Linked DNA regions of Diceros bicornis minor. The protein of the gene in region 1 interacts with the protein of each later gene in a pairwise test. Links are inferred from orthologs where the notes say so. Each region holds a gene or a part of one and is shown on either strand. Other genes may lie near its edges. The genes, in order: PNMA1, MCM7, ATP5PO and SEMA4C.

What was found.
Region 2: the proteins of PNMA1 (region 1) and MCM7 interact in binary tests that used the Homo sapiens proteins (3 or more experiments, as listed by UniProt). The two-hybrid records come from large-scale screens. The link is inferred for Diceros bicornis minor from reciprocal best matches to the Homo sapiens genes PNMA1 and MCM7.
Region 3: the proteins of PNMA1 (region 1) and ATP5PO interact in binary tests that used the Homo sapiens proteins (3 or more experiments, as listed by UniProt). The two-hybrid records come from large-scale screens. The link is inferred for Diceros bicornis minor from reciprocal best matches to the Homo sapiens genes PNMA1 and ATP5PO.
Region 4: the proteins of PNMA1 (region 1) and SEMA4C interact in binary tests that used the Homo sapiens proteins (3 or more experiments, as listed by UniProt). The two-hybrid records come from large-scale screens. The link is inferred for Diceros bicornis minor from reciprocal best matches to the Homo sapiens genes PNMA1 and SEMA4C.

The regions. Positions count from the first base shown.
Region 1 is NC_080763.1:21,878,202-21,885,700, forward strand, and holds PNMA1 (paraneoplastic antigen Ma1), read right to left. Parts: upstream 3,008-7,499; 5' UTR 2,331-3,007; coding exon 1,269-2,330; 3' UTR 488-1,268; downstream 1-487. Other genes in the region: MIDEAS (mitotic deacetylase-associated SANT domain protein), read right to left, coding at 7,267-7,444.
Region 2 is NC_080765.1:5,668,566-5,676,475, reverse strand, and holds the start of MCM7 (DNA replication licensing factor MCM7), read right to left. Parts: upstream 3,004-7,910; 5' UTR 2,903-3,003; coding exon 2,872-2,902; exon of another isoform or gene 2,589-2,871; intron 2,158-2,588; exon of another isoform or gene 1,972-2,157; intron 1,699-1,971; coding exon 1,619-1,698; intron 1,270-1,618; coding exon 1,105-1,269; intron 926-1,104; coding exon 801-925; intron 727-800; coding exon 546-726; intron 230-545; coding exon 92-229; intron 1-91. Other genes in the region: AP4M1 (AP-4 complex subunit mu-1), read left to right, coding at 3,317-3,374, 3,476-3,564, 3,957-4,063, 4,143-4,239, 4,372-4,482, 4,572-4,652, 4,873-4,935, 5,035-5,101 and 7 more; TAF6 (transcription initiation factor TFIID subunit 6), read right to left, coding at 7,339-7,719. UniProt on the Homo sapiens protein: Acts as a component of the MCM2-7 complex (MCM complex) which is the replicative helicase essential for 'once per cell cycle' DNA replication initiation and elongation in eukaryotic cells.
Region 3 is NC_080766.1:34,363,934-34,371,696, forward strand, and holds the start of ATP5PO (ATP synthase subunit O, mitochondrial), read right to left. Parts: upstream 3,009-7,763; 5' UTR 2,938-3,008; coding exon 2,887-2,937; intron 2,494-2,886; coding exon 2,443-2,493; intron 1,173-2,442; coding exon 1,062-1,172; intron 1-1,061. UniProt on the Homo sapiens protein: Subunit OSCP, of the mitochondrial membrane ATP synthase complex (F(1)F(0) ATP synthase or Complex V) that produces ATP from ADP in the presence of a proton gradient across the membrane which is generated by electron transport complexes of the respiratory chain.
Region 4 is NC_080779.1:15,759,053-15,766,974, reverse strand, and holds the start of SEMA4C (semaphorin-4C), read right to left. Parts: upstream 3,006-7,922; 5' UTR 2,578-3,005; coding exon of another isoform or gene 1,809-2,577; intron 1,642-1,808; coding exon of another isoform or gene 1,405-1,641; intron 1,245-1,404; coding exon of another isoform or gene 1,164-1,244; intron 930-1,163; exon of another isoform or gene 893-929; coding exon of another isoform or gene 741-892; exon of another isoform or gene 33-740; 5' UTR 1-32. Other genes in the region: transcription initiation factor TFIID subunit 4, read left to right, coding at 741-892, 1,164-1,244, 1,405-1,641, 1,809-2,577; protein FAM178B, read right to left, coding at 7,257-7,289.

The DNA.
Region 1 (7,499 bases):
GGGACATCTTCAGTCACTAAATCTCTGCAGCCAAAGAGACATGTTATTAAGCCATATTTCTCTTTTTATATCCTCTTGATATAAAATGGCCACTCTAAAACTGAAACACTCGTTTCACAGGTATGATGAGTTATTACGCCTGCATGGAAACAAACATTTTCAGCTGATAAGGGATTTCAAAGGGGAGAAAAAGCATTGCTCGATAAACTCCTAAACCCCATTTCAGGATTTTCTAACATGTTATAGTAAGTTAATATTCACTTATGTCTATTTAGCTTTCTAACACTTGCCTTATAGAACACAGGCAAAAATTGAGTACATTAAAAGATATTGTAATTTAAACTTTCATAATATGATATAAAGCTTAAAGATAAAATAATTGAGGTTTGATTTTTTAGTGACAGGGGAAGTCTTTCTAAGAAAAGAGGATATAGATCTTAATTACACTGAAAATTTTTATATATGTCAGAAAAATGAGAAGACAATAGAATTTTTAAAATATTTTTATTCATATACATGTATTTGATAACTTCAAATTTAGAATGCTTAGAATCAGTATGAACAAGGAGAACTGTTCAATGACAAAGGTTTGAAATGGAATGGATACCGTAACTGGTTCATGCAATTTATATCTGTATCTTGAACAGTGAAAAATTCTGATTTACACAGCTCTATAATTGCAGTATTTTTCTAACACCCCATTTTATAGTCTCAGAAATCTTTTCAATCAAACTGATTCAGATGTTTAAAGATGAAAAATAAGAAATCTGCACTATAAAGTTGAATAATATCTAATTAATTCACATTTCTTTCCATTAATATAAATCAGGAACAATTTACAGTGAACACGAAAACTATTCACGATATTAGTAACAACAGTTCACATTTTTACTTAACACTTCTTGTGTTAGCCAGGCCCTACGCTAAACATCTGAACATGCAATTTCACATTTAATTACCTCGATGGGAACTGTCACAAGTTCACATGTTTTTCACAACTGATGATGATGCTACTAGGACTGCTTGCACTGAGCACTTGTGTCCAAGCCTTTACCTGGAATTATAGCTAGCATGACTCACTTGTAGCAGCTCAGGGTGTTCGCTTGCACAATTTTACTAATGTTACATAAATACGCAGACCTGACTTCCCCCCCAGAAAACAGAACACGGCTGAGTCTTTACTACTAAGAGACACACCTGTAAGACAGCCCAGAGACAAGGAAAGCAGCTGTGATCCAGGTCTGCACTGAAACCCGGTTTCCTGGGAGTCAGAAGTGCCCCTCCAGGCCTAACTGCAGGAGGGCGGCCTCAGCCTCCTCCTCCTCCTCCTTGGCCTCCTCCTCGCGGATCTGCACCAGCAACTGAAAGAGGTTAGGGGCCGGCCCTTCCGCAGCCCCGGTCAGCCACAGCTGCCTTCGGATGGCCCCACTGTGGTTGGCCCCGGCAATGACCTGCTCCAGACGGGCCTGGTTCACGTTATCTTTATCTATGGCCCCCTTCTCCACCACCTTCTGCAGCAGAGGCTCCAGACGAATGACATAAGCAGATAACTTTTCTCCCGGGTTCTGGTAAGTGTTCAGAAATCTGACCTGCGCATCCCTAGAGCTCTCGACGCTCCCAAACACCTGCTCAAGCGCCTTCAAGCACTCGGTGGTGGTTATCGCAGGATTGTTAGTCTTGAGGATGCGGATGACATCAGCGGCGGGGCCTCTAAGACTCTCCATCAACCGCCGCCTCTTTTCGCCATCAGACACCTGCCACTCCTCTATAACCTCATTAGTGTGCTCCAGCCAAGGATCAAAGGTTTCCTCCCCAGGCCCCGGGATGTCCCTCCCTGAGAACAGCGTCAGCTTCTTGTACCATATGGACTCAACAAGAGGCTGAATAACATTATCCAAAATATAATTCAGCATCTCCGCTGGCATATCTGGGCCTGGGGCCTGAGCGGGGTTCTGAAACCCAAGGACACGGGCAACATCTTGCACGGTCCACCCCTCTCTTGCTAGGAAGAGATGCAGCCTTTCTAAAAATTCAGCATCGGAAGTCGGGGGCTTAAAGACCACTTTCCAGACCCCTCCTTTACCCGGCATCTCCCTGGGGATCGCGGCGTAATCGACAGCGCCAGTGAGCTCTAACAAGGCTGCTTTCGCATTCTCTTCCCTCCAGAACATTCTCCCAAGCACTCGATAGGGCACCTGGGGCATCGCAGCCTGGAGGGTCTCTTCGATTTCAGCCTCATCACAGTTCACTGGGATCCCCCAGACCAGCAGGGCTCTCTGGGAGTTCACATCCATTCCCCTGCACCAGTCTTCCAACAGTGTCACCGCCATTTTCCCAACTATCAAGGACCCTAACGCTAGGAATACGGATTCGACTATGGCTCCCTTGCTCAAGGACTTAGGACAACAGCAGACACTCTCCCCCAATATGCCCGCGGGAAGCAAGATTCACGCAATCACAACAAACGACATCAGAGTCCCGCTCTCGTCCTCTCGCTGCCCCCCCAAAGCCAGTGCGTCGGCGCGTTCTCGGAGCGAAGCCGTGGGGATGCTCGGTCAGTCAGTCACTCAGCCGCCGCCATCTTGCGTCTCTGGCCGGGGTCCGCGGCCGGGGTCCTCCGGCCGCAGGCAGGATGTCGTGTCGCAGCGCAGAAGGCGCGGAGCGAGGGTGGGTGGCGAAGGCAGGAGGCGCGGGGCTGGAGAGGCCGCCGGGGTGTGGTTGCGGGGCGTGGCCGCCTCCTCTGTGCAGCCGGGGCGCCGGGCACTCGCTGCTGCTCCCGGAGTCGATGAGGCGTTCGCGGTCGGAGCCGGGCTTTCAGGCGGGCGAGGAGCGGCGGCTTTGCAGGCGAGGACTGTGCCGCCTCCGGAGGGAGAGACTGTCCTGATGTGCAGCGGTGGCGCGGAGCCAGCCCGCGAGCGGCTTCTTCGTGGGTGCAGGAACCCCTGTGGGCGGCGAGGACGCGGAGGACCGAGGACACAGCGGAGGCGCGAGAAGGACGTAGAAGCAAGGCTAGAGGTGGCGGAAGCGAAGGCGGACAGGGGCGGCGGTGCGCGCGGGCTGGCGCGGCTCGGCTACGGACTCGTCAGACCCGGGGCCAGCCGAGGCGGGACTGCCGCAGTGGAGGGCGGGGCCGGCCCCCTGAGCGGCTTCCGCCCCGCCCCGCCCCCGGGGCGGAGCCTGCCGGAGCGTAGCCATGGCAACGGTGGCTCAGACGACTGGAGCTCTGCGCTTGGCGGCGGCCCGCGGGGTGGGGGTGGGGGGGAGGGGTCGAGCGGTTGCCATGGTGCCAGCGAGCGGCTGTGGGCACTGGTTTCTGTGATGGTGCATTTCGTTTTTCATTTTCCAGTTTTTTTTACAAAGCACCATGTTTAAAAGATAATATAATTCTGGAGTGGATTTAAGATGATATTGTTGATAATGCATCCGTCAAGGCAGACTTGTCTACTCATGTCACTCATTCAGCCAGTCAATGCGGCATGTGAAAATACCGCAGCTTCCCTGTGCCACCTGATCGCACTCTGCACCCTCCATATTTCATCCCAATGAAATGAAAACGTTGCAAGTGTGCCATTTACATGTTTTTGTGTGATACTGAGTTGAGACTTTCTTGTCTAAAATTTTATAAAAAGATCTGTATCTATTCAGTAATCTTTGCAGCCAGGCAGATGCTACTGTGTTATTTCCTCTGTCCTGGCATCATTGGCAATGGGCTAATAAAACAGAATCCTTATAATTCAAAAACGTCGAGTAATCCCCTGCAAGCAAAACAAGGCCTACCTACATCAATCCCAGATGGTGAAAATCTCCCCAAAGAACACAGCATTCAACTCTGAATTTTTAAAACCTTATTTAATAAAAGGTTTAAAGATACAGAAGAACATTCAAAAGTAAATAAGTTACATAGGTACATTACAATCACATCAGCAAGATTTTCTTTAGTGTATTAATTTTTTTTTATAAAAAGCACACAAAAAATAAAATCTTCAGTCTGGTCTATCACAACTGTACAGCAAAAGAGGTAATATTTATATATATGTACACTATTTTAATATGTAACAGTCTTTAAAAAAGGGTGCCACAGGCAGCAAACACACAAAAGGCAGTGTCTGATCATTTTTTTCAAAATAAAAGGAATATACTTATTTATATGCTATTAAAATATTTGTACACTAATTACAGACTGTCAAGGCTGTTCCTGTGCTGTCCCCTCCAACAAGGCCTTCAACTTAGAGACAAATGAGGAAAAGGTGAAACAGCTGCAAATTGTTAGTTAGAGGCAAATATTAACACAGCAAAATATGGGGAGGACATACAACTGTTTTATAAAAATATGCATACTCTTTGTAAACCTAAAGAGTTAGGCTTGCCAGTCTGGTAATAAATGCCGTCCGAGAAAAGCGAGCCCCAGAGAAAACATATTTAAACAGCTGAGGCTTGAGTATGTGTTGTATTCCTCCTTCATCTTAACATCTGGCACATAAGAAAGAGGTTAGGTCATTGAGGCAGTTTAATATAGGGGATCCCTTTAGACATAAGCAGCACACGACCTCTGTGTCAGGGGTGGAGGTGGGGTGGCAGAAGGGATGGGTGTACCTTAGCTGTGAGGGGGGCTGCTGAAGGCATGGAGGACAGTGCTGAAGCCCTGTCTCCTTGGGTGGGTAAGAGACCTCAGAAATGGTCTGGGACACAGGCACTAGGTTAGTTTCATGCCCTTAGCTGAGTGTAGATGGAGGCTGGGAGATGGATATGTGAGATGGTATGGGGAGGATATTACAAAGCTGGAGCTGTTTGTCATTTAACTTCTTAAAGCAAAGAGCTCTAAATAGAGTAAAAAAGAAAAAGAAAATACAAAAGACGAGCCTCATGTGTTCACAGGGAGAAAGCACCATAAAGGATAGACCTCTGCCAGCTTCTATGGCTGCACCCACTTTATTGGCAGGTCACTTGCCACAACTTCATCTGCCCTCCAAACATTTTAACTTGCACGTTGCATTCTAAATATAAATCCATCCTGGAGCATGAACCCTTCTAAAATACGGTCTCTGGTGAGATTAATATAGAGAGGTGCCATCTTGATTTTCTCCACCTTCATTCACCTGGTCTGGTCTCCATGAGCTTAGAAGAGGAGAGTCACTCTAGATGAAGGAGGTTTCTGTTACCGCATGTCCATAACAGGGCCTGAAACTAAATACGGTTTAAATAGAAAAAACCTTGGGAAACATAAGTAGCACTTTGGGGCGAAGCTGCGAAGGCACTCATATTACACAAGTGATTTAGAAGAAAGCCTAAATTTGCTACCCTTCTGTTTCTGGAGGGCATACTAGATTTTTCCAATCTTGGGACATCGAGCTTGTAGAAGCCTATGGAGGAAACTAACTGGGAAGCTGGAGATCCAGGAGTCTGGGGGGAGAAGAATTTTGTATTCCCATAGCTAGGGTCCTATAGAACCATATTAATGCATAAACGAATGCTGAAAGATACCTGATAGTGCATAGTTTAGAAACAAAACTCCCTCCCCACTCCCAGCGACCAACGTGATGCCTTTAGACTATCTCATAGGGAGCAGCAGAAGGAATACTTTTTGGCTCCTTCCTAACATGCTCACCTGTCATATACTTGCATTCACTTAGAACTTACACAACAGAGCAAAACAATAACAGCCCTCCTATGAGACTGGCAAGTGAAGGGGCCTCCAGAACCTTCCAGCCCTTTCACTTCAGTGACTCCATGCCAAATATGGCTTCTTCAAGACAGAAACAAAACCAGAATCCTGGCTTCCAGCCAATCCCCTCAGGCAATTTGAAAGTACAGCCAGAGAAGAGGTAGCAACAAGAACTGTCTTTGCTCTCCCTTGTTCCTGCCAGTCTCTGTGCGGCTTTGGTGACACCTTCCACCTTTCCACCCTCTTTCAGTGCTACTATCATTCCTATTGACCAGTTTCCACAGCAAGGAGGCGAGGGACCTTAGAGTCTTGGGAATGGGGGGATGGGGCAGATGCCAAGAAGGTGCCTTGTTTTGGGATAAATGCACTTGGGCCTCTGGAAAGCAGGAAGCCCCTGGTCCCTGAGAGGATGTTAAAAATTAAATATTAAGAATAAATAAATAGCTCCCAAATGACATAAGTCAAGGAATGAAGGCTCCTGTCCAATCTGGTTAGGAGACCTTCCCCTCCCAGGGAAGGATCCAGAAATCTCCAGCATGCAGGACTGGGGGCTAGGCTGTGGATGTCAGCACTAGACCAGGTGAAGTAGGGTTAGGTGGCAGCTGCCAAGGGCAGGACAGAGGCAGGAAGGGAACTTGCACCAAGGAGGAGCAGGCTGGGCCTGGGCTAAGCTCCCTTAGCAGCCTCCAGGGCCCAAAGGTATTTGGTAAAAAGGTGGGAAGCAGGAAAAGCCACAGCTTATCAAAGGCTCCCTCAGGCCTAGCCCTGCAGCTTCCATCCTCTGCACAGCTCCCTTCCCTCCAGCAGGCTGAGAGCTTGGACCGCAACACTGGCGCCTTCCCCAAACAGCTAAGAAAACTTTCTAGCCCCAGCAGGCTGCTAGCAAGCAGCAAAGGGACAGGCACCTGTCCTCAGTCTTTCTCCCTCCAGGCATTCTCATAGCCTCCTTCCCAGGGGAGAGGTGGTTTCTCTGAGGACAGGGTCACTGGAGCAGCTTAGGCCTGGACATTATCGTGCAGGGGACAGCACGCCTGCCAGGCAGAGCTCCCTCTCAGAGACGGCCACCACACTCCCTCGAAGGGAGTCTTTTTCCGGGGCATGGGGCAGGGCCTGTGCAGCCTTCGAGGTCCTCTGGGGAGGGGGAATAATGCTGCAAGAGGCGGGCAGAGCGGTGAGCTTGTGCTTGGCTCTCCATGGCGACCGAGGGGCGCAGGAAGAACAAAGAGGAAACGAAGAGACTGCGCGGCAGCAGAGGTCCCACTGTGAGAGGCAGCGGTGGCAGCGGCTAGAGCCCCTCCAGAGGGGCAGCCCCGCGAGCAGGGACTGTCCCAGTTCCAGGAAAGCATAAGGACGACTCCTGACAGACTGAATGCAAAGAGGAACTGGATCCTGCAGCCCTTAACACTGCTCCTGGGGCCTTTATAAATAAAAGAGCCGTTTATTTTATTGTCTTATTCGTTTTTCAGAGAAAAGTCCAGGGGATCTCTCCTCTCTCCCTCTGGAGGTGGCGGGGTGCTTGCAGGCGCTTTGGCAGCTGGTGCAGGGAGGGCCGGGAGCCCGGGGCAGGGGCCCGCCCTGGCTCCCCGGCCGCCGAGCCCTAGGCCTCAGCCCCTCTCGCCCGCGCTCTCCTCCCGCAGGGCCGGCTGGTGCGCAGAGGCGGCGGCCGCAGTAGCCGCGGCAGCCGCGGCCTCTTTCTCCTTCAGCCTCAGCGCAGCCGCCTTCTTCTCCTGCTCCGCGTGGCTCTTCATGTGCGCGCTGCGGCTCTTCACCTTGTAAAACACCCTGGAGCCGGGCAGGGGAGGCTCAGGTAAGAGGTCAGTCCCCACCCCGCCGTGCC
Region 2 (7,910 bases), on another chromosome or scaffold:
CCTCTCTTCTAGTCCACGAGTGACTGCAGGATTCGAGTAGCCTCCCAAGCTCCACCTTCCCTGGACCCTGCGCCACATACCCCAAACTCACATGTTCTTGCATCTTCATTTCCTGGAATTTGATGAATTTGGAGCCACGTGTCTGCAGATACAGCCGCCCTCCTGAGCGGTTGGTCTGACACTCCTGGCTTGGGCACATGATCAGAGGCATGAAAGTGGGAGACTGGATCTAAGATATAAGAAAGGAAGTAACACAGGAAATCAGAAGGAAACGAGGCCCTTAGAATCAGTCACTCAAATCATATTTCTTCTTCATGGCAGATACCATGGATTGTCAAGAACATCTTGAACTATTCTGCATCAATATCAACAGGCACCAAGAATAAAATGAACAGAAAAGACCACCACATACCCGAAAAAGAATAAAACGTGAATATACAGGCATACTTTACAACAGAGAAAATGACAAACACCAGCAGACAAAATTACTTCTTGTTCAAAATGAACAAATTTAAGCATGTGCTTGTTTCTTGCTCCATACATACCGGCTGGTAGGTCTCTGCCCCACACTGGTCACAAGTGTAAGTGGCCACCACCATTCTGGGTTTGACTTCAGAAACGCGAGTGACGATTCCACGCACAGTTACCAATTTCCCCACAGAGTCAGCTCGTACTTCCCGGATCACACGAGGCTTGTTACTGGTTGGGCCTTGAAAGTAGAGCTCACTAAGGGAAAAGATAGTCATCAGCAGGGTCCTGAAGGATAAATTCTCACACCCTTCCCCACTGAGACCACTTACAATCTGCGCATGAGTTCTGGAGGGTACTGGTTCTGGGGGCTTCGCGGTGCCCCAGGGTCCCGGCTCCGCTGCTCCATCATCAGCCGATGCTCAATGTAAACGTCCAGGACATCTTTATTTACTACCTAAAGGAAGAGGGAGGAAGATACGAAAAATGAGTGGCAAAACGGGAAAAAGACAGCATAAAAGGCACCAAGCAGAAATCACTGCCCCTCTTTCTGCCAGCTCAGAAACCATCAGTATCTGAGAAACTTTTTAACAGAAACCTAAGTTCCTTGCCCTGCATTATTCTGCAACCACTCACCTCCCTCTCCTTGTACTGAGGCAGCAGCTCCTGTACAGCATCAGCAAAGAGCCGTGCATAGCGCTTGGCATTCTCACAAATCGAGTCCACCAACTCAGGGTCATCCTCAGCTATATCATCTAAGTCTATGTACATTGCCACTTGTTCCCGATGAGCCAGGCGAACCTGCGGTGGGGAAGAGACAGCAACAGAGCTAAGATGACTGTGCTCACCAGTGTTCACAGGCAAGGACCCCATCACTGTGAGCTCAACACATAGGTTCCAGGTCTCCACAGGAGAGCAAGAGTGGTGTGAGACATAGCAAAACTCACTTCTCAGCCCCCAAAAGACAGCCTTCCAACTCCTGAAAACACCTTAGTTATCATGAACGTAGCTTTCTATTCACTTACCAGTATCAGGTATGGTGCTAAATTTGTGTCCCTTACCGACAAATGTAACTGCTGAAATAAGCCAGGCCACCTCTTAGAGCTCCTTAAGCAACCACCCCATTCCCTCTACCTAGTCTTACACTTACCAACTGGTTCCCATACTTGAACTGCTTCTTGCCAAATTCCTCATCCTGGTAAAATTCTTGTAGGAACTTCTTCACTTTTTCTATAATGTAAACGTAAAATCACGACGATCAACCTTTCTTTCTTTCAGATAACCTTACCGTAAACCCCTCTGATAGAAATCTAAGAAACCCACCCCATTTAAAACAAGATCTGTAAACTAATTAATTATATGAACATTTAAATAAGCCTAAATAATTCTCCCCAAACTGGGCAGAACTCCTTTTTAACAAGTCTGTTTTTAACAGGGAAGAATCAGGGGCCCCTGGCAGGAGTATTACCCAACACCCGCCCCCAGGGGAATTCCAGTCTCTACCTTAGTTAGAAACCTTTGCAGCCTATCCCAAAGGCCTCTCACACCCAGCAACACACTCAGCAATCAAGGTTCTCAGCTTTTCTTCCACGCCTATGACTCCCCCTTTTCTTTCGGTCCCCTAAACCTCTGCTCTCTCTGGGATCGAGGCCACTAGGCCCGTCCTCCACCCGCTCTCCCGCCACTGCTTCCGCTCTTAGTAAACAAAGAAGCACATGGGCCCCGATGCCGCCGCCTCACAGCCCGGGATTCCTCCGCCCACGGTGGGAGCCCGTCCGGCGATTGGCCAGCTCGTCCAGGGACACTCCGTACTCCCCCACTATCTCCCCTCTCGGCCTCCCGCTAAGCCCCCCAATTCCAGGCACGCCCCCGCCCTCAGTAGCTCTCTCCGAGGCCGCCGCGCGGAAGGACACTGTTTACACACGACACTCCCTCCAGCCTCGTCGCGCAACTTCCGCCCGCCTTCACTTCCGCTTGGAGGTTGGCCTAAAATGGCCAATCCCGGCGCGCAGCGGCCCGAGACCGCCCACCCCCGGGGCTTCGGCGCGTCTCGGGAGGACGCGGGCACTCAGAGTGCCTAAGGGCGCGGAGGAAACGGGCCCGGGGGTGCCTGAGCCTTAAGCAGGGTCCCCTGATGTCCTGGTCTCTCCTGGGCGCGACCCTCCCCTCTGGAGCCCCAGCCAGGCTGCCCGCACCCCCAGCCCGATCCGTCCTCCCTTCCCTGACACGGTTACAGCTCTTCTCCGCCCTCAGCACCCTGCGCGCCTCCCAGGCACCGTCTGCCTCAACCCACTACCTCCCGACCCTGGCTCTGGTCTCGCCCGCCGCCCCCGGCCCCCCAGGACCCCAGCTCACACCAACAGGTCTTGGCCGGACGCCGCTGCCAGGCTTGCACACCCTTACCTTTCTCGAGCGCGTAGTCCTTAAGCGCCATTACTGCCGAGGGCCGTGCAGCAGCAGTTGGCGACCTCAAGGTTCTCACTCTCGGGATCACAGAGAACGTCCGCGCGGCGGACTGCAGCCGACCAACCGAAATTGGCGCGAAACGTCGCCCCTCACGTGACCGGCGCCACTGAGTGCGGACCAATCGGAGAGGAGGCCCTCCACCCTCCCCACTCGCCGCAGGCCCCCGCCTCGGCCAATCACCGGGCGAGCCTGGACTGAGTGACTGGGAAGCGGCGCGGGTGGCGAGAGGGAAAGACTAGGCGAGGCGGGGCGGGCGCCGGGTTTCCCGCGGTCGGAGGAGACTCGCTCTTAAAGGGCCAGCACGCGCGTCCTTTTGTTCCGCGGCCGCCGGGCGGGGTAGGCCCAACTTTCGCTGTCTCCTTGTCTACTCTTCCGAACGCCTATGATTTCCCAGTTCTTCATTCTGTCCTCCAAAGGGGACCCGCTCATCTACAAGGACTGTATCCTTGACCCGGGGGGCGCGGGGGAGGGGCTGGGTGGGAATAGTGCCCCAGAGCAAGCCTGTGTCGCCCGCTCCTTAGCTGTCCTTCCACCCGGTCAGTTCGCGGGGACAGTGGCGGCCGGGATGTGGCTGAGCTCTTCTACCGGAAGCTGACGGGACTGCCCGGAGACGAGTCCCCGGTTGTCATGGTAACCACTCGTGGAGCGGGAGGGGGCGAGTACTGGGGGGTGCGCCTGGCTGGCCTGGGCGGGGGGCGCCTCCTCCCAGGATGTTTCCCTGAGAGCTTCCACCGGGGGAGTGCATTCTTCCAAATAATATTAACGCAAGTTTATTGAGTGGTAACAATATAGCAGGCACAGGTGCTCACACGTCTCGATCCTCAGCAGTTCTGGGGTAGGTACCATCATTAACTCCCTTTACACATTAGGAAGGTGGGCTCTAGGGAGGTTTCATATCTCGCCTGAAGTCACACTGGTAGTCAGTAGGGGAATCAGGAAAGGAGCCCCAGGCTCATGGGCCCTTAAACAGGACAACTCTCTTTTCCTAATGCTCCCCCCCCCCCACCCCGCCTCTGCCTCAGCACCACGATGACCGTCATTTTATTCACATCCGACACAGCGGCCTCTATTTGGTGGCCACGACTTCAGAAAACATTTCTCCCTTCAGCCTCCTAGAGCTGCTGTCCCGGTGAGGAGGGCAGGCCTGGGCACCTGGGCGTGGGGGTCTGAGAGGAGGGGCATATGCACACTCCATCCTGTCTCCTCAGCTTAGCCACTCTCCTGGGCGATTACTGTGGCTCCCTGGGTGAGGGGACCATCTCCCGCAACGTGGCTCTTGTCTATGAACTCCTGGATGAAGTGCTGGTAAGTTCCAAGGATTTCCCTCACTGTCCCCTGATCCCTGAAGATATATCCTGTGGTTGCGAGGCTAAGTCCACGCATTTTCACCCCCTCCCTCCACTGACCACTCAAAGACTGTCTTTCCCCCGTCCATAGGATTATGGCTATGTACAGACCACATCCACAGAGATGCTGAGGAACTTCATCCAGACAGAGGCCGTGGTCAGCAAGCCTTTCAGCCTCTTTGACCTCAGCAGCGTTGGCTTGGTCAGTTGAGGGAGAGAGGAGGACAAGGAGGGAGGAGGGTTGGCAGGGAGTATCAAACCTGAGGATTGATTGCTTTGGGTGCTTTACAGTTTGGGGCCGAGACCCAACAGAGCAAAGTGGCCCCCAGCAGCGCAGCCAGCCGCCCTGTCCTGTCCAGCCGCTCCGACCAGGTGAGGGAGGGACTGATGGGTTCAGACCCTCTGGCTTTTTTCTGGGACCCCAGGTCTAAGATCCTGGCATCTCTTTTCACCTCTCCAGAGCTGGATAAATCCCTTACCCCCGTGTCCCCACCCCAGGGCCCTGGCCTCCACTATCCTGTCCTTTCTGCCTGTCCACTTTAGAACACAGGCCCTTCAGCCTCCAACCACCCAAATCCCCTCTCTTCCTCAGAGCCAAAAGAATGAAGTGTTTTTGGATGTGGTGGAGAGATTGTCCGTACTGATAGCATCTAACGTAAGTTTAGGCCCCCAGCCCTGGAGCTGAGGACAGATGGTATTTGGAAACTGTGTTAGGGAGGTCACCTCTGGGCACTAACCTCCCTGCCACTCTCAGGGCTCGCTGCTGAAGGTGGATGTGCAGGGAGAGATCCGACTCAAGAGCTTTCTTCCCAGCGGCTCCGGTGAGAAGTCTGCAGGCTGGCCCCAGGCTGGGGTTTGGGACAGGCTCCTTGGTGGTGTGCATGGCAGCATTTGGTGGCCTTTTCTGATGTCCTTTCCTCTGACAGAGATGTGCATCGGCTTGACAGAAGAATTTTGTGTGGGGAAGTCAGAACTGAGAGGTGAGGAGAGAGGGGTCTTTCTCTCCTAGGTGTATAGGTCACTGCCAAAAGTTTCATGGAGTGAAGTTAGAGACAGACTCCCCCCTCCCTGCTTTTCTCTCCCCAGATATGGCTTAGGAGAGCTCTTTCTCTCTTTCCAGGTTATGGGCCAGGAATTCGGGTAGATGAGGTCTCATTTCACAGCTCGGTGCATCTGGATGAGTTTGAGTCTCATCGAATCCTCCGCTTGCAGCCACCTCAGGGCGAGGTCAGGATCGGGGTGGCCTAAGATATTCCATCTGCTGGGGGGAAGGGAGGCAGTTCAAGTGTGAGGAGACCAAACTGACCTCCATTCCTCTCTGGCCTCAGCTGACTGTGATGCGGTACCAACTCTCAGATGACCTCCCCTCCCCGCTCCCCTTCCGGCTCTTTCCCTCTGTGCAGTGGGACCGAGGCTCAGGCAGGTAAGACCATTTCCCCTGTTCCAGAAATTCTCTGGAATCCAAGCTGATACCTATATGTTCTCAAGACTTATGGTGGAGTGGTGGTGGTCGAGGTAATATGGTACAAGTTGGAAAAAGGCATCCTCCCCCGAAGTGCACTCAGCCCCATGAACACTTGTGGCTAATGGAGCCCTTCTCTCCTTCTTGGGGCACTGACACAGCCACGCGTGGGGGCCCTGGGTAGGGGATGGTGAGATGCCAGGAGGGTATGGCCTGAGTAACGGTATTGTACCCTCTCACCCAGGCTCCAGGTTTATCTGAAGTTACGATGTGACCTGCCCCCAAAGAGGTACAAGTCGGGGTGGCCAAGCTGAATTCAGCTGTGGGGTAGGAGACCAGGCCCAGTAACCTGTTGCTTCCCACCTTCAGATACAGCCACCAGCCTCGGAATCCAGTTTAGTTAGAGGCTCTAGAGTTTGGGAAGGGGATGGGGTGGCACTTGTGTGGAACTCCAATTGTGACATTAATGAAGAGTGGGGACAAATCACTACCTTCCTGGGGCTGACTCTGTTCCTTTCTTTGCAGCCAGGCTCTTAACGTCAGGCTGCATCTTCCCCTGCCACGAGGGGTGGTCAGGTTAGTCGTGTGCACTGTGGGGGCTCGGGTGGTTTTACCAGCTTCCCTGGACAATGGCATGGCACTGGGGAGGAGTGAGCTAGGGGTGGGGCTGGCCTGCTCCTGATGAAGGCAGAGGCTGAGCACAGCACCTTTCCTCTCCAAACTCCAGCCTATCTCAGGAGCTGAGCAGCCCAGAGCAGAAGGCAGAGCTGGCTGAGGGAGCCCTTCACTGGGACCTGCCTCGGGTGCAAGGAGGCTCTCAGCTCTCAGGCCTTTTCCAGGTATCAGCTGCTGATCCTCTCAGGCCCTCTCCTCCCACCTCCATTTTCAGCCCCCTGACCCATCCCTCCTCACGCAGACGCTGCATTGTCCCCGCCAGCGTGGGCAGCTTCCTGGCCACTTGGCTTCCCTTGCTTTTTCTCTCTGTGCTTTCAGCACCCCTCCCCCTGCCTCTGCCCCTCACAGATGGATGTCCCAGGCCTCCCTGGCCCTCCTGGCCAAGGGCCCTCCACCTCAGCCCCTCCTCTGGGGCTGGGCCCCGCAAGCCTCTCCTTTGAACTTCCCCGGCACACATGCTCCGGCCTCCAGGTTCGCTTCCTCAGGCTGGTGTTCAGACCCTGCGGCAATGCCAACCCCCACAAGTGGGTGCGACACCTAAGCCACAGCGATGCCTATGTCATTCGGATCTGAGGCTCCCCACACGAGGACGCAGACAGCAAAGGCAGTGGTCTGTGGATTGAGAGGACCAGACTGTCTCTTCCAGCCTTCTGGCCCGTGGCTATGCATCTGGCTGGAAGAGTCCTGAGTCCTAGAGACCAGGTGGGCTTGACTAGTTGGACCCTCCTGTGGTATCTGACCCAGGAAGGACTGAGGTGGATCAGAACTTACAAATCAAACTTTTATTTTGAGGAACTGGCTGTACAATATCTAAAAAGAAAGTAATGTGGGGGAAGCAGAGTACTGCTTCCTTCCACCCATCGTATGTGTGTGTGTGTGTGAATCGGGGGAGAGGAGAAGGTCGGCAGATGTGTGACAGCATCAAGGTGCAGGCTGAGGGGAGCCAGATCCGGGGGGCTGGGAGCCATTAGCCTTTGGAGTTCCTGGAGCTGGAGGGGGGCTGTCCCCAGCTTCCTGTTTCCCCCCACAGAGAGCGCTGCTCCCAAGTGGGGAGGGGGCTGAGGATGGAGGAGGGGCTGGAGAAGAATGGGAGGTGGGGCCTCCTTTGCCCTCCCCTGTCGGGGGAAGAGAGACCACGATGTACTTCTGGACACTGCCTGGACCAGAGGGAGCAGTGCTGGGGGGCGCAGTGGTGGCGGTGGAGACCAGCTTGACAATGGGCTGCACGCTGGGGACCGTGGTGGTGACAGGAGAGGTGGTGGTGGAGCCTGAGACAGGGGCTGAGGTGCTGAGGGATAGGACCTGGGGGGAAGAAAGAAAAGGCAGTGTGGTTGCCTCACGGCCCTCCCCACTCCCCAGGCCTGGAGGAATACTACACTTGTGCAGACCAAATAATTTGTTCCCACCCTCTGAGCCTGTAGGCTGCTGCCACCTGAAAGAGCCTTGCTCAGGATGAGCAGCTACGGCCTTGCAGGCCCCTGGGAAGTGCCCCT
Region 3 (7,763 bases), on another chromosome or scaffold:
CACACTTGCCTCTCAGAGCCAAAAAATAGCTAATTTTCATTTATAAAGAGTCTTAAGGTAATTGCCTCTCTTCTATGTCTCCACATCTTGACTTCCAGGTTTTAGTTAAACCCCATTCTAATGTCCACAACTCAGGTCCTGCTCTCCATTGTGAATGCCACTGTTCAGGTTTAAAATGGGCATAAATGACAAATAGTGGGCAATAATTATCACCCCCAGAAATGCCTGTGTGAGATCCTGTCTGCTCCTGCTATCCCCCCACACCACCAAGTGTCTCCAACAATACGGCTGCTGGCTCTGTGAGGATCCTAAGGGTTGACCACACCAACTAAGACCGCAGGCATTATCTGCAGACCTAACTGGATAATGGAAGGAATACAGAGCTAAAATTATTGTCTGTTAGGACAAAAGTTCCAATAAAAGCTCAAAATGAAAAAGAACAAAACATGTTAAGTATTATTCTATGCAACTAGCCTGCGAGGTTTTTTTTTTCTTTCCTCAGTAGCCTCACAGTCTGTCAGTTCTCTAGCATCATCATGGAGCTCATACACCTTTACAATGCTGCCCAGCACGCCCTGCTCAGTCATTTTCCCCTCACATCTTGGAATAAAATAATAATTAAAACTGAGGAAAGAAAAGGAAAATAAATTCCCAGTAAAACAAAATCATAATATATTCTAAAGGCTATTTTGGAAGTACCTGGAATACAAGCATACATTTTCAAAGGTGACTTTTAATTCTCTTTTGGAATGGCAATTTTTCTTAACTTACCATCTTGTATTTTGATTTTCTATTTCTGTTTCTTCTCTTAGCCCGAAATCTTGGTTCCTAATATTAATATCTTTATGTGTATCTGTTTGCATCTATTATACAACAGGTTCAGAACAATACCACCCAGTATTACTACTATCAATATGATTATAGAAAATAGGTTTTTCTTTTTCTTTTTTTGCAGTTCTTTTTCTCTTAGGATATACCTCATTAGGGATGCAGAGTCAAATAACAAAAGGGAAAAATATACAATGGGAACTTAGTAAGTAATGAATAGGAAAGCTACTTACTGCTACTCGCAACAGTTCCTTTTCTACTTGTTCCAGTTTATTCTGTTTGGATGCAGCAGAATAAAGCGCAGTGGCATAGCGACCTTCGATACCATATATCTGAACAGGGGGCTTTAATACAAAGGGTGGGGTAGGGAAGCAAGGGAAAAGGAAGATCAGTTACGACAATATTATGCTGTCAATTGCAGAATTAAATATTTGTAATTTTAAAAATACATCTTTTTATAGCACAAAACAGTTTAAACATATCATCCAAGAGCTATCCTGAATGGCAATTTTCAAACAAATTAGGGATGTTTCCTTGGCCAGATCACCCAATCTTTGAGCTTCCAATTCCTCATCTTAAAACAAGGGGCTTAGGAAACATGTGTCTAAAGTCCCTTTCAGCTCTAACTATCTGTAATTTAACTATGTTAATTTTGAGATGAGCTTACGCTTCCTTTCAACTCAATAACTACTCAGTTCCAAGTATGGGAGGTTTTTAACACTGAGAGAAGGCAGTTTTGAACATGTTAGAGCCAGGAAATCAAGCCTTTATGAAACACATACAAGTATACTTTTGTACATTTCACAGTAATACTATAAATTTCCCTTACAGAGCCTCCCCATCAATGTTCAGTTTAATGGAGCCCTTTAGCGATTTACTAAGTGCCTGATGTTGGAATTATTTTTCACAATAACCTGTAGGCTTTTTTCCTACACACTACCATCAGTGTATGACTATACATGCTTAGTGGTGCTGTGGGCTTGTAGTGGAAAAGATTAGGCTTTGAATGAGAAAGATTTAGTTCCGATGCTAAGACCAAGCTGAGTTACCCTGGGCAAGTTTTCCCAGAGTCTCAGTTTTCTCTTTTGCAGAATGGGAAGACCAGCTACTTCCCATTACTGTTATGAGGTTTTAAGAAATTCTCATATTTATTTACTTATTTTTGTGAGGAAATTAGCCTTGAGCTAACATCTGTTGCCAATCCTGCTCTTTCTGCTGAGGAAGATCAGCCCAGGGCTAACATCAGTGCCCATCTTCCTTTACTTTATATGCGACGCTGCCACAGTTGGCTTGACAAGCTGTGCACAGGTCTGCACCCGGGATCCGAACTGGTGAACCCCGGGCCTCCGAAGCGGAGAGTGTGAACTTAACCACTACACCACTGGGCCAGCCCCAGAAATTCTCATATTTAAAAATTATGCATGGGCCTGTTATATAGCAGGCATTCCACATTATTCCCTTCCATTCCCCTAAGCACACATCACATTTCAGGAATGGCAAATCGTGCAGAAAGATTTAGGGAGTAACCATACAAAAGTCCATGCCTAACTATATTGCTGTTTGACTCACACACTTTTATCTGCTTTACAATTACCAAAGAATAAGTCAACATACCCTCACAAGCTTGGCAAATGGCCTGACCACAGATGTACTGAAGCATCGCACCTTTAAAACAATAAAGGAAAGTAGATAAAACAAGGTTACTGGAAGGATTTCTGCATTTAAACCAGTAATAAAAAACATTAACTATGACTTTTAAATGATTAGTTTCTTTGCATCATTGCATAGATTGCATGACAGCGAGCTGCTCTTTATTACCCATGAGTAAATTTCCCTACTAAGAATCAGCCCAACTTGCTGAGGAAATTGCCTTCCCGCTAACTTCCTAGTCAGCCAGGAACAGGCTAGCACACCAGTATGAGAGAGAAAACACTAATTTCGATGAAATACGTATTTCAAAAACATTTTAACAAGATTTTTGGAATGTATATTACCACCTTTGAACAGTATTTTAATAAAAAGTGGGAGGATTCCAGTCATGACCTGCAAGAGATGTACCTTCTTAGAATCCAAATGCTCTCTGAAAATAAAGACCAGTCCTTCGAGCATCGCAGCAGACTCTGATGTGAGAACAGGCCCTAATTCTGAGAGGTGGTATCTTGTCTACCAAGAAACAGAGTTGGAATCGCTAGTCTTAAAAGCACCTGCAAGAGTGTACAGGCCACCTTCAAATAACTAGCTCTGGAGTGTACTACACCAAAACTGGTTTTGAGGATTAAAAGACTTTTTAACACTATGGAAAACTTACGTAACCTGTAAGGGGTCATGCTATGTACAGCCCTGTGTTGACATGCACCATAAAAAGCACGAATTTTCTTCCCAGCTCCATCTTCTATGAGACTCGGAGTTCCAATCTCGGCTCTACCCCTTACTGGCTGAGCAGCGAAGGACGACTCATTTAAGCTTTTCTGTCTATTTTCTTTATAAGAACGTGAAATACGACTTTACAAAAATATTCCTTAGCATCACTAGTGACCCCTGCCAGGTGTGACCACAACGACAAAGGAAGATGATCTAGGGGTGGGCCACGTTCTCTTCTCGCAGTCCAGGGAAGCCGGCCGCCCTCTCCTGTGCCCCTCAAGCCAGCTGCTTCCCGAGGCTGTGCTGGGAGGACGCCACGGTCCACGGTCCAAGGTCAGGCACGCGCAGCCCCGCGCCCACGGCCCCGCGGGTAAAGCGGGGCCGCCGGAGCCTCCTTGCGTTGCTCCCACTCGCTGAGCTCCACGACCTTAAACGGCGGCCACGCTTCCTCGACTGTGCCCTCGCACCGTGGCACTAGGGGTCTGGTACCGGTCACCCCAGGAGGGATCCTCCCGCTGGCTTTCAGGACCTCCGTTCTCTCACCTGCCGGGACAGCCCGGACACTGCCGTGGAAGCCATCTTCTCCTGGGCGGCTGTAGGTCAAACCCGAGCTGGAGAGAGACACGGGAGGGCGCATGCGTACGTCAGCGTAGCCGCTCGGCCCCCCTGGGAAGTGTAGGCGTAGGTTGTCAGGCCGCATGCGCAGTGACCTCCCTCAGGCTGGGAGTTGTAGTCCTTGGAAGCGAGTGGTAAAAGCTGGTCGCGCAGGGCTGGGAAGGGCGTAGTGGGCTCGCACAGCACCTGAAAAGGAAATCCTTGAGTTACTGACTAAGCGGCCCTCACTATAGAGTGAATTTATTGTCCGTAGCTTTATAATTTCCATTTAGATAAATATGGTGGCATTTGTTCTATTTCACATTCATCTCTAGCATCATTAGCATCTTTATGCCTTCTTCCTACCACGCCAAAGGGTGTATCAAACGCAGTTCCTCGTGTTGTATTAAAAACTAACCTTAAACTCCAGGAGTGGACTCTACGTGCCCAGTACCTGGGCGGCGACTGCCCCACCATCCTTCCGCCGTCACTCTGCCCCATCTTGCCTGAGTACAGCACTAACCGGTTGGGTTGTGGGCGTGTGAGGTTCTGAAGCCTAAATTCTTGACGCTGGATAGGGCAGGGTGATTATCTGAGAATCGGATCTAAAATAGGAGAACTGGGGTTTGGGCAAGTGTGACGAACTGAGAACCCAACGCTAGCCTTGGCCAGTTTCTCTGCATTCATAAAAACAACCTATTTCAATCTATTTTCCCCTAAATGGAGCTTACTCTAGTTTTCTCTTGCGTACCGAAGAAAATTGGCCTTCAGGGCACGGGTCAGAGTTCCCTGGTTGCGATAATGGGGTCCCATGGTCAATTAAAAAGTTCTTTTTCTGCTCAGATCTATTTATAGGAACACAGATTAATTCATTAATTTACTCTTTTAGGGTGCAGTTTTCTCATCATTACAAAAAACTTGTAACAATGCAGAAAAGGAGAAGGAATGTAATTGCCCTCTTTTAGACCATCCAGAGGCAGCTGTTGTCAATACTTTGGTGTGTTGTCTCCCAATATTTTTTCAGGCAGTAGCCCGAACTGCCCAGGCTTGAATCCCAGTTCCTTCGATGGCCTTCCCCAGTTATATAACTTCTCTGTGCTTGAGTTTTATTATCGATAAAATGAGTATTATAATAGTACCTGCCTTGTAGGTTGTTAGGAAAAATAAAGAAGTTAATATACATGTAAAGTACTTAGAACAGTTGCCTGACAGAGTGGCACTCGTTGTTCTGTATTATATGTTTGTTTTTGTTACGCATACTGATTCATAATGTGTATGTAATTTAGTATCTCGCCCTTTTCCTTAATACTAGAGAAAAAAAGGATGCTAAATTATATACAAATTGTGAATACGTGCTTACAGTATAATATAAGCATATTTCCAAGTTATATAAATTTTATAAACGTCATTTTAATGGCTGCAAGATAACCCATCAAGTGGATATTCTGTAACTTAATTATTCAATGATTTTTGAACATAATTCAGATGGCTTCTATTTTTTTTCTATTTTAAACAATATGGCATCTCCTGAGCATCTTTAGACACAAACATTTCTATATATATATTTAGGATAACTTCCAAATAGGTTCCTAGACCTGGCACAACGTGGTGAGATGGTATGAGCCATTTGAAAGTCTTTGATGCATGAGGCCAAGCTGCTTTTCAAAAGTTTTGCCCAATTTACACTTTCACTCACCGTGCATAAAACCCTTGTTTCACTCTACTCTGCAAACTATTTTCAGAGGCTATTTTCAAATAAGCTGAATGGAAAGTATATTCATTATGCAACACATTTTATTGGGCACCTAATATATGTAAGCAGCAGTTCCATGCCCTGAGTGTACAGCAGGGTACCAGACAAAGTGCTTGCCTTCGTAGACCTCATGTACTATGTGAAATCAAACCACAAAACCTGTGTTTCCTAAGGTGTGGGTGTTAATAGATGTAATACAAATTAAAAGTTCTCGGGCCTGATACACTTTGAAAACTCTAAACTCTCTATTGCGTTGATAATTGACTATAAGTAAATTGTACAGTTGCATAGCAGCAGGGTGATGCTCTCTATTTCCTTTGTATTCCCACTCCAGCCTTTTGCGTGTCACCAAAATAGCAGTTTGTGGTTGTTTGAGTTTTAGGGTTTATTAAGTTGTTGTGCATATATGGTTTCATTTTTATTTTGAGATTCAGGATAACTCTGAGATGTAGGTTGTCTGGTACTCCCCCACTTCATGGCTGCTGAAACTTACCTTCTTTCTGCTTGCTCTTGGATTCCTGGGCACCTGCTGAAATTTCACTGCAGGCAGAGCCCTGCAAGGACAGGCCAAGGTCTCAGATGCAAACTCTCACAAGGGATCAGTTGGCAGCAATTTCGCAGCTGTGTGACTGCCATACCTTCTGCTAATAGAGTATTTGGAAAGGCAAAAAAGAATTTTGTGGGGCTGGCCCGTGGCATAGCGGTTAAGGACGCGTGCTCCACTTTGGCGGCCCGGGGGTTGCAGCTTCAGTTCCCGGGAGCGGACATACGTACCGATTGTCAAGCCACGCTGTGGTGGCAACCCATATAAAGTAGAGGAAGATGGGCACGGATGTTAGCCCACGGCCAATCTTCCTCAGCAAAAAGGGGAGGATTGGCAATGGATGTTAGCTCAGGGCTAATCTTCCTCACACACACAAAAAAAGAATTTTGTTTCATAGCAGAAGGGAAAAGACTCAACACTCTGCTTTATCATGCTTTCCCTCTGTACAAACTCAAATTGTTTACAAATTAGTTATTTTAACAGCTGAGGCTGATGGAGTCAAAGGGACTTGCCCAAGGCCACAGAGCAGGGCTACAGTGATAACACAACCAGACATTGAATCTCCACATTTTTGTTTTATGCTGACTTTCAATTCAAAACAAATATTGCTCACTGTTTTACTTTGTCTACAAAGGCACCATATGCTGGCATGGAAAACAGCAGCGTGGGTGTCATGAGACCCTTAATTGCATATGTTTTAAAAAAATGAAGTGACTTTCCCCTTTCTAAAACTCAGAAATCTGGATGAAAGTTAATGTGCAAAATGTTCACTCAATATAAAGTAGCAAAAAATTGGAAACAAATGTCTGAGCATAAGAGAGTGGCTTTTAAAATGGCACATTATGCAGCCATTACATTGAGATTTTCAAAAAGTATTTAATGCTATAGAAAAATATTTAATGACACCGAGGAAAAAATTACAAACTACATTCTGTATTATTCTATAATGAGTATGTGTCGCTACCATAATCAGAAAAAAAAAAAAAAGGATGCCATGATCCTGTCACTTAACAATGTGCCCCTTAAAGAGAGATCCATCTGTTCTGGTTTCGATTACACTCAGCTTCTGACATGAAGCTGAGTGAATGACTAGTCTCTGAAGTTGGACCAGAAGACCTCCAAGTTTCCTTCCCAAGATTAGCTTCGACATAGACTCCACCAGCCTGGGGGACGTTTCCTTTAGCTTTGCAGAATACACAGTAAGGATGGTACCCTCATGGCAAAGGTTTTCCCTACACATTTTGTTACACTGAAAGGACCTGGGAAATGTTTGCATTGTTCGTGTATTTATTTATCTCAGAGTAAATTCTGCAACAATTTTCTCTTTCTTTTAGTTCTTTTCTCCTCTGAGTTAATTTTGAGATCTGTGCCTGGATCCTGTATAGCAGACCAGACCTACTTGCTGTCTCGGGGCCACAGTCCGGCAGCCCAGATTTAGAACTTCATATGCAGCTTGCCTTTCCATTTAAACCTCAACATTAGGAAAATGACTTTGGCAGCTTCCTATGCAGGTCTATGGATTTCCCTGTTAAAGGGGGTTTTAGGCAGTCCTGCCAATTGGCAGAGGCCTCTGGGCTAGAACTGATCAGGCTTTGAACAAGAAGTGTTGAAGGAAATGGACAAAGGGATGCCAGGTATTGTGACCCTATGATTTTAAACTCTTTATCCTTCAGATTTGGTGCA
Region 4 (7,922 bases), on another chromosome or scaffold:
CACCCCTGGCTCTAAGCTCCAGGCCAGCTGCCCTGCTGGGGGAAAAGACAGCGTCAGAATCACAGCCAGAGAAAACAAACTGGAAGGGGGCCCACAAAGCCCATGCCAGGAGGCACTGACAGACACAAGACCTGATCAGGCCTCCCCAGGAGCCCCCATGAATTCCTCCCTTCCCCTTGTCCTTGGAGCAGAGACCTACTCCCCTTCCGCCCCTCCACAAGCCTCCACAGGACCACGGGGTCTCCCTGAGGGGAGGGGGAGGAACGGAATCAGCTGGAGGAGTGGACACTCCAAGAAACGCTCTGTGGCCTCCAGGCCCTCCCCCACTCCCTCTCCTCAACAGGAAGTTGTTTGAGAAAATAAAAAGGGGACCCCCATCCCCCACACTCAGGCCTAAGAGATTCGAGGATTTCTTAAAATAACCTCTGGAAGCAAGACCTGCCCCCACTGGGGCTCCAGCCTGCCCCAAGATCTAATTCTGGGACGCAAACCCCTTAGCAGGGTGAGGGGGCAAGTGGTGGGGTAGGCGGTTGGAAAAGCCTTCCCCAGGGGGTACTTGGTGCAGCAGGCGTGCGGGGGTCCTGGCCCCAGCCTTTCCCCTCCCCCAGCGCAGACAATAGCCAGGCAGAGCCCAAAACCCCGTTCCACATCAGCAGGGCTGAAGTGGTGCCGGCAGCCGAAGGGGCCCAGCTTCCCGAGGCCCCTTTGTTGCCCAAGAAGGGAGGCAGGAAGTGGGCGGGATGGGCGTGGAAATGACCAGGGCCTCATCCTGTTCGTCGCACAGCCTCCTAGGAGACACTAGCCCTCGGGCTGAGGGGCGGTGGGACAACAGAGGCGGCTCCGGTCTAAAGAGGGTTCTCCCCGCGGCGCTCTCAGGCGGGGGCGGGAGACAGTGAGGACCGGGCGGCGAGTGCGAGAGGGGTTCCTCTTGGGCCGCGGGGGACGCCCCGCGCAGGGCGGGCGCCTGCTGCGCTCCGCGGGGTCTGACGAACCTTCCCAACTCCGGGATCGCGCCCCCGGGACTCCGGCCTGGCCAGGCCCTCTGCATTAATTTCCACTGCTCTGGCTCTCCAATGCCGGGCACAGACACAGAAGCTGGGGACTTGCTCACCCCAAAACAAAGGGTCCCCGTTCCTGGCCCCCCGGGTTCTCCCCTCCCCCAGCTCCGGGGATTTGAATGCAAACAAAGCGGCGGCGCTGGGAGCGTGGCGGAGCCCGGCCTGCGGACGCCCCCTGTCGGCCTAGTACCCCAGCGCGGGAAGGGCGGGGGGTTGGGGATACGTTCCCCACCCCATTCGTCCCCAACACACCCCCAGCCCTGCCTCTGCCCCTTACCCCAGGCCCCCGCCGGACCCCGCGGCGCGCTCCGAGGATCTGCCCGCACAGCGCTGCCCCCACCCCCAGCTCCTCCCAGGGCGGGGGACACTGGGGCAGCCCCGGCGGTGGGGGTGGAGGGGTGCGGGACCCAGGCGGCGCGACCCCCACCCTGGCCCACCCCAAACGGCGGGCCGCGAACGGCGCTCCCGCGGCTGCAGGGCGAGCGCTCCAGCCGGGGACCGGGCGGCCCGGCTCAGGTCGGGAGCTGGCTTTCCAGGACAAGCCGCCCTCCCAGCGGAACGAGCGCGCCGGCGAGGGGCCGCGGCAGGGAAATCCGATCCCACAACATCGGCCTCAGTCCAAGCCCGCCCCAAACTTTCCGTCGGGGGTGGGGGAGCCGGGGGCAGTTCAGGGACCCGGAGAGGATCCCGGCCGCCGACGAGACAGCACGAGGGACTCCCACTCCCCTCAGCCCCGCTCCCCCTGACTAGTCCGCGCCTCGGGACCCTAAGGCTGCGGGCACTGCTCGCCCCGCTCCCGAGCCCCCGCGAGGCAGCCCGCGGGGGGCGCACGAAGGATCTCGGGCGGACAGCTGTCCCCGCCGCTGCCGCTCCCTGCACCCCCCGACCCTGTCCCTCGCGCGTGCGGCGGCCCCAGCCCGAGTCGGGGGACAAAGCGGCCGCCCCGGGGCTCCGGCCCCGCGCAGCCCTGGCCTCACTCACCTCTTCTTCGCGGCTTGAATCCCTGGGCGCCGCCCTCGCGTTCGCCTCCGACCACGGTCCGCCCCTACCCGCGCGCCGCCGCCCGCCCGCGCTCGCCCGCCCTCCTCCGCTGCCCCTCTGCCACCGCCCCTCGGGCCCGGCTCGGCTCGGCGCCCCTGGGCTCGGGCTCCCCGCGCCACCGCGGCGGGCGCCGGCTCTTTCTCCACCGCCGCGGCTCTCCGCCCCCTCCCCCCTGACGTCAGGCGGGGGGGTCGAGCAGAGGCCGGGGGCGGGACGCGAAGGCCCGCCCAGGAGGGGGCTGCGACCCGCTGCGACCCGCCGGCCCCCCCGCTCCCGGGCCGGGGGCTCGGATCCCCAGCCCCTGCTGGTGCCCTGCCGCCCCGCGCCTCGCAGTCGCGGTCTGCGCCACAGCGCCGGGAGGTGGGGCGGGGGAGGGACTCCGGGCATCGCCATGGGGGAATCGGACTCACCCGGTCTTTCTGAAGTGTCCCCCAAGGCCAACCGCGGGCTGGGCGGCCGGGCTCGGGAATGGGGCTGAGGGGCTCCCCACGCTGCGGTGACAGGAACGAACGCAAGCAAGCCACCCCAGGGCGAGTATCCGAGGGAGGAGCGCAGGGGAAAGCGAGGCTTCTCTTCGGGCGGACCAGAGTGGTCTGTCTTTTGGCTCCAAATTCTGCTTCGTTTCTTGGCCCCAACGCCCACTGGCCCCTGCAGTCAGACTGGCACGGGCCTCACCAGCCAGGAAGACCCCCTAGTCGCCGGAGGCAGTTTGCCCCTTATTTCTCACCCTCCACGCAGAGGGACCCTGCTCAGTGCCCCTTCCCAGCTCCCGGTGAAGACAACCCTCCACTCCTGTTGCACAGAGCCCACCCCCAGGAAATGACTCCTGGTGCCACTAGAAGGCTGAATAACAAGTGACATGAGCCCTGATGTTCAGATCAGGGGCTGAGGGGAGCTAGGCAGGAGAAGATCTACTACCTTCAGAGCCGTCAGCCTCCGCCCACAGCCGCTCCTGTAAGTAACTTGTAGCTCTGGCCTCCTGGGCGGCGCTGGAGTGTCCTCCTTGCCAGCTGGTCCTCGCAGTTGGGCAGGTGGGCAGAGGAACCCCAGGGAGGCCACCCCATTGGCACCTGGAGACAGATGCCACCTCCCGGCTGGGAGCAACGGACAGAGGTGCAGAGACTGGAGGCCCTGAGGCTTCGTGGTAACTTTCAGCCCAGTGCAGTGGTGGAGGGGAGGAACACTTTAGGGCCTGTCAGCAGATCTGGATTATAAATCAGTCCCAACAGGAGCTTTTGTTCTGGGTTAAAACTTGGCATCTGAAAAGTGGAGCCCAGAAGAGGAGTGGAGATAGTTGGGAAAGGCAGCCCAGTTTGGATTCAGTAACAATTGGGTCTTTGCTAATACACATAAAGGCCCCTTCTCCCACGCTGGCCAAAGCCACATTTCCCAGCTCCTTTTCACCAGAAAAAAAGCTGTGCCCTTGGAGATGCTGGAGATAGGGGGCAAGCCAGTTAACAATAGCACGGGGTGGGCAGGGAAGGCTCTCTGCTTCAGCCGACAGGCAAGGAGGAGGTGTGTGGGACCCCTCATCCACATTAGAGCCTGTGTCTTCTTAAGTGGAGGTCAACTGATTGCAGACTCCCTCACCTTTGTTCTGTGCTTGAGACTTTGCAACCTGCCTTCACGTACATTTTCTCACTCCATCCTCATGACCACCCTTTAAAAAGCAGGTATTGTTTCTCCCATTTTATAGATAAAATAAGGTTCAGAAAGGTTAAGCAAGCTGCCCGAGTCAGGTAGATAATTAGTAAGGTCAGAATGTTAAATCAGGTCTTGGGACTCCCAATTCTGTCTTTCCACTAAGTCACAGTGTCTCTTGACAACTTTTAGGCCCCAAACACTTTATTTCTTGCTGTTTTTCCTCACCTTCAAGCCTTACCTCCACCCCCACCCCCACCCTCTAGGAGTAAGGGTTACCAGGTGGAGACTTGAGCTCCTGGCTCCACCTGCAAGATGGCCCCAGTGGAAAGTTTCAAAAGGTGGTTTGGTTTCACTGGCAGCGAGAGTTTTCTGTACCTCAGGGCTGGCTTCTCTGTTCCTGCTAACAGACCCTGGGAGCCCTTCCCTCCCAAACGCTCCTCCAAGATAAGGCTGCAGCCCCTCTTCCCTGCTTTTTCTACCTTTGCTCACTTCCGGCTGTGTTCTGTCCATTTCTAGCACTGGCCTTTTCCATGGGTGGGTGGGCAGGGGATAAGTTTCCTGCATGACTACTTGCTTATGATTCACACTTTTTAATAGAAACACAACTGGTCCAAAATGAGAATTCCTGGGTCTTAACATTAACAAAAAAAATACTAAGGAAAAAAAAAAGGCTCATGTACCTATCAAGTCTCCCCAGGGCCTGTCTGGCATATTCTAAGATGGAAGGTACCCATCCTTCAGCCCATAGGCCTTGACAGACCCACCTACTTGCCCCATTTGCTCAACAGCTTGTGGCCAAGTCAAGGAAAAGACAGAGATGTGCTGAATGCCTTCTGAGGTCCTGTAAGGATCCACTGGCAGTTCAGGGCAGCCCCTAGAGATGGGCCCAGGAGTCTTACTGAAAAGCAAGGCCCCCTCTCTCCCCTACACATTGTCATGCACCATGGTGCCCGTCGGCTGAGCTCCTTACCCCCTAGCTCTCGTGAGGCAGCTTTCTGACAGGAGAGGGGCCCAGCGTTCACACTGGGCCTCTCTAGTCATGCCTGAGCAACTCCCAAGGGAGCCAGGGCTGCTGATTACCCACAGAAGGGAAATGAGAAAGCCTGGGTCAGCCACCCCTCAGGGATCTTTCTGAGGGCCTGGGGACCGAGGTGAGCGGGGACATAGGAAAAGGGCTTCCTCTCTCCACTTCCTCCTCAAGGAGAGTTATCGAAGCCGCCCACCTGGGAAGCCTTTCCCTTCCCAACCCCTCCCTGCCACCATCACCAAAGGAAGCAGGAAAGCATCCGTCATCACAGCCCCGGATGCTTTTCCAGTGGCTTCAATCAGGATATCCCTCAGCCTTTCCCCAGAGGCTCAGGGATCTGGAACGGGCAAGCAGAGAAGTCGCCAGCACCACTGAGCAGTTCCTGGCCTGGAGGAGGCCGAGTCTCTCACTGGTCCCGGACTAGTTTTAGGAGATCTGGTCAGCTCCCAGCCAGTTCCAGCGAGGGCCTATTACACGTCCCAGGGGATGCCGTGTGCCCTTGGGTGACCTCAAAGTGCACCTCTCTGCTCAGGTTACAGCCAGGTCTCTGGAGGGACTGCGTTGTCACCCACACCTCCTCTCTCCTTGGTGTCCATTTCTCTCTTGGGGATCAGTGTGTTTGGGGAGTGAGAGGCAGGGCAGTGCACAAGATCCAGGCCTGAGGAGAAGGGCTCCAGATGTCTGCACTGATGGACAGCCTGATCCCTTTCCCAGAGCCAAGTAGGGGCAGCTTTGAGAACTGGAAACTCCCCAGTTCAGCCTCTCAGGTCTCCCTACTCCCTCTCTGCCCTTGGCAGTGAGAACAAAGAAGGGAAATTTCAAAGGTGATTTCCAGGTTTCCAGAGCAAACTGAATAGCTGAGGATTAACTGTCAGGATGTGCAGTGTCAGAAGCAGGGGCAGCCCTGAGGGAGGGTGAAGGAGGCTGGCTCACCAGGGCCGCCGCACTTTTATGGGAGCATCTCAGGCCTACCTGATGCCGCTGGGGCCTCAGTGGTGCCCCCAGCCAAGGGGGCCCGTGAGGTGGCCAGGAACAGAAACCAGAACTCTCAGTCAAGTGACCTGGGCACCCAAGTCACCCTGATAGAGGGTTCCGCCTCTCACCTGGCAGAGGCTGCAAGGCAGGGAGATGTCCCGTACTGCACCCAGCACTCTGCCCTGGGCTCGTGCCCTCTGAATTATAGATGACCCTCTCTCCCAGCATTCTGGGGACCCAGTGAGGGAGGCAGCTGTGTCTGAAACAGCCCCAGGAAGTGACAGGCTACATTTCAGGTCTGCAAATTGAGCCACTTGGCCTGAAAGTCCTTTATTTGGTGGGAGTCTCGCTCCTACTCAGCCTGCCTTACCCTGACCCCGGTGGTATGAAAGCGCAAAAGAGAGGGACACACACACACAGAAAGTCATAAGCACCCGCCGTGGCGGAGCTCCATCGGTGGACACTCGGGTTGAGCTGAGGGGTGGGCGCAGGCCATCCTCTGCTACTTCCTGTCTACCTCTGGTGGCCCCTGCAAAACCCATCCCAACCCAGAAAGAGTCAGGAGGGGCCAGAGACTAGAAATGGATTCTCAGGGTTGGAGGAGTGGGCAGAGGGAGAAAGGGGATACCAGGGATCTCCTAGGGGTACAGAGGGCCTACTCACTTACCAGGGCGGGCAGGTCAAAGACATCCAGCACCCCATCAGGGACCAGGGCCCACGACACTGATCTTGGCTAGGGCTGAGGGAAAGCAAAAGCAGGATCTGGAACTGTCTTTGGCACCGCCCCCTCGCTCCTAAGTCTGGGGAGTTGATTTCAGAGCTTAACAATAAACTGAATTAAGTGTAATTACAGCCCCAATCCACCATCTCACTCTGTAGATCTTCTCCGGTAGAGGCGGCCAGTGGGGAGTGGTCCCAGACTAGGTCCAAACAAATGTTCCCCATCCCTGCTCTCTGGGTGTCTGACAGCTCTGGGGCCACAGGAATAACTGCTCTTCCTCAGGATTTACACACAGCCCTCTGCTGCAGGGGGCAGGGCCGAAGACCCGGTCACACGGCTGTCGGAGGTGAGAATTTGTGAAAGCTTGAGCAGAGACGTCAGGCAACTGGACACTGGGCGTTAGCCCTCAGGATAGGGATTGAAGGAAATCTTCTAAACCACAGATGCTGAAATAAGACTTTAATGTGCACAAAGAAACCTCACACTGGTGACAGAGAGAGAAGAAGGAGGGTAGGGAGGCCCGGGAGGACCCAGGAGGCCCAGGGAAACCAGAGCTGTGGAGATAAAGACCCTGGGTGAAGAGGAGAGGGCTGGGAGAGGAAGGAGAGCTGAAGGCAGGCTAGGCACCGAGCCAGGGATCCCTTGCCCGGTGGGGTCAGGGACGGCGGAGGCAGGCTCTGGCTTCAACAGACTGGTCCTCCTCTGGCCTCCATTCTTCGCTTCCTCCAGTTCCCAAGGCCCCATTCACTTCCTGCCAGAGCCAAGAGCCCTGGCCTCCCCTGCCACGCTGTTAGATGTCTTTCCAGGGGCTGAAGTACTGGGCCTGTGTCAAGGAGAAAAACATAAGGTGATAGCCGGGGCCCAGGTGGTGCCCAGCGTCCATTCACCATCCTCTACTGGCCTCCTCTGTGCCAGGCGCGGAGTGACAGGAGTCCTGTGGCTCATGGTCCATGTGAGGACTCGCAGGTCAACAGGCCACTTAACCACAGCCCTGCCCGGGTTCCCTCTACTCACTGCTTGCAGGCCCAGGGCGGTGTGAAAGGAAGGTGGGGCCTACCCCCTGGCTTGGCCAGGCCACGAATCACTTTTCTCTCTTTTCATGACAAACACATTGTTTCCCACCAGAGACTAGTGGGATCTAGTTCCTTGGGGATTGAGGGTGAGGTTTGCTCTCCAACTTTCTCAGAGACTTGCGAAATCTGAGACCCAAGCCACAGCCTGTGGCTGATGTGTCAGCCCCAAGTCAGAGGTTGCTGGGGGAAGGACAGGCAGAGAGAAGTCACAGGAAAGGCGAGTTGGGAGCCGAGGAGCATTGGGAGAGGGGCTGGAGAAACAGTTCTCACCAGACCCAGCTGTCTCCATCAAGGGTTGGGGGCTAGGGGAGGGAAGGGCTCCTAAGCCAGCCGGTGCAGCCTGTCAGAGGGACTGAGGCCAGAAGGGAGGCTGCCAGAGCAGG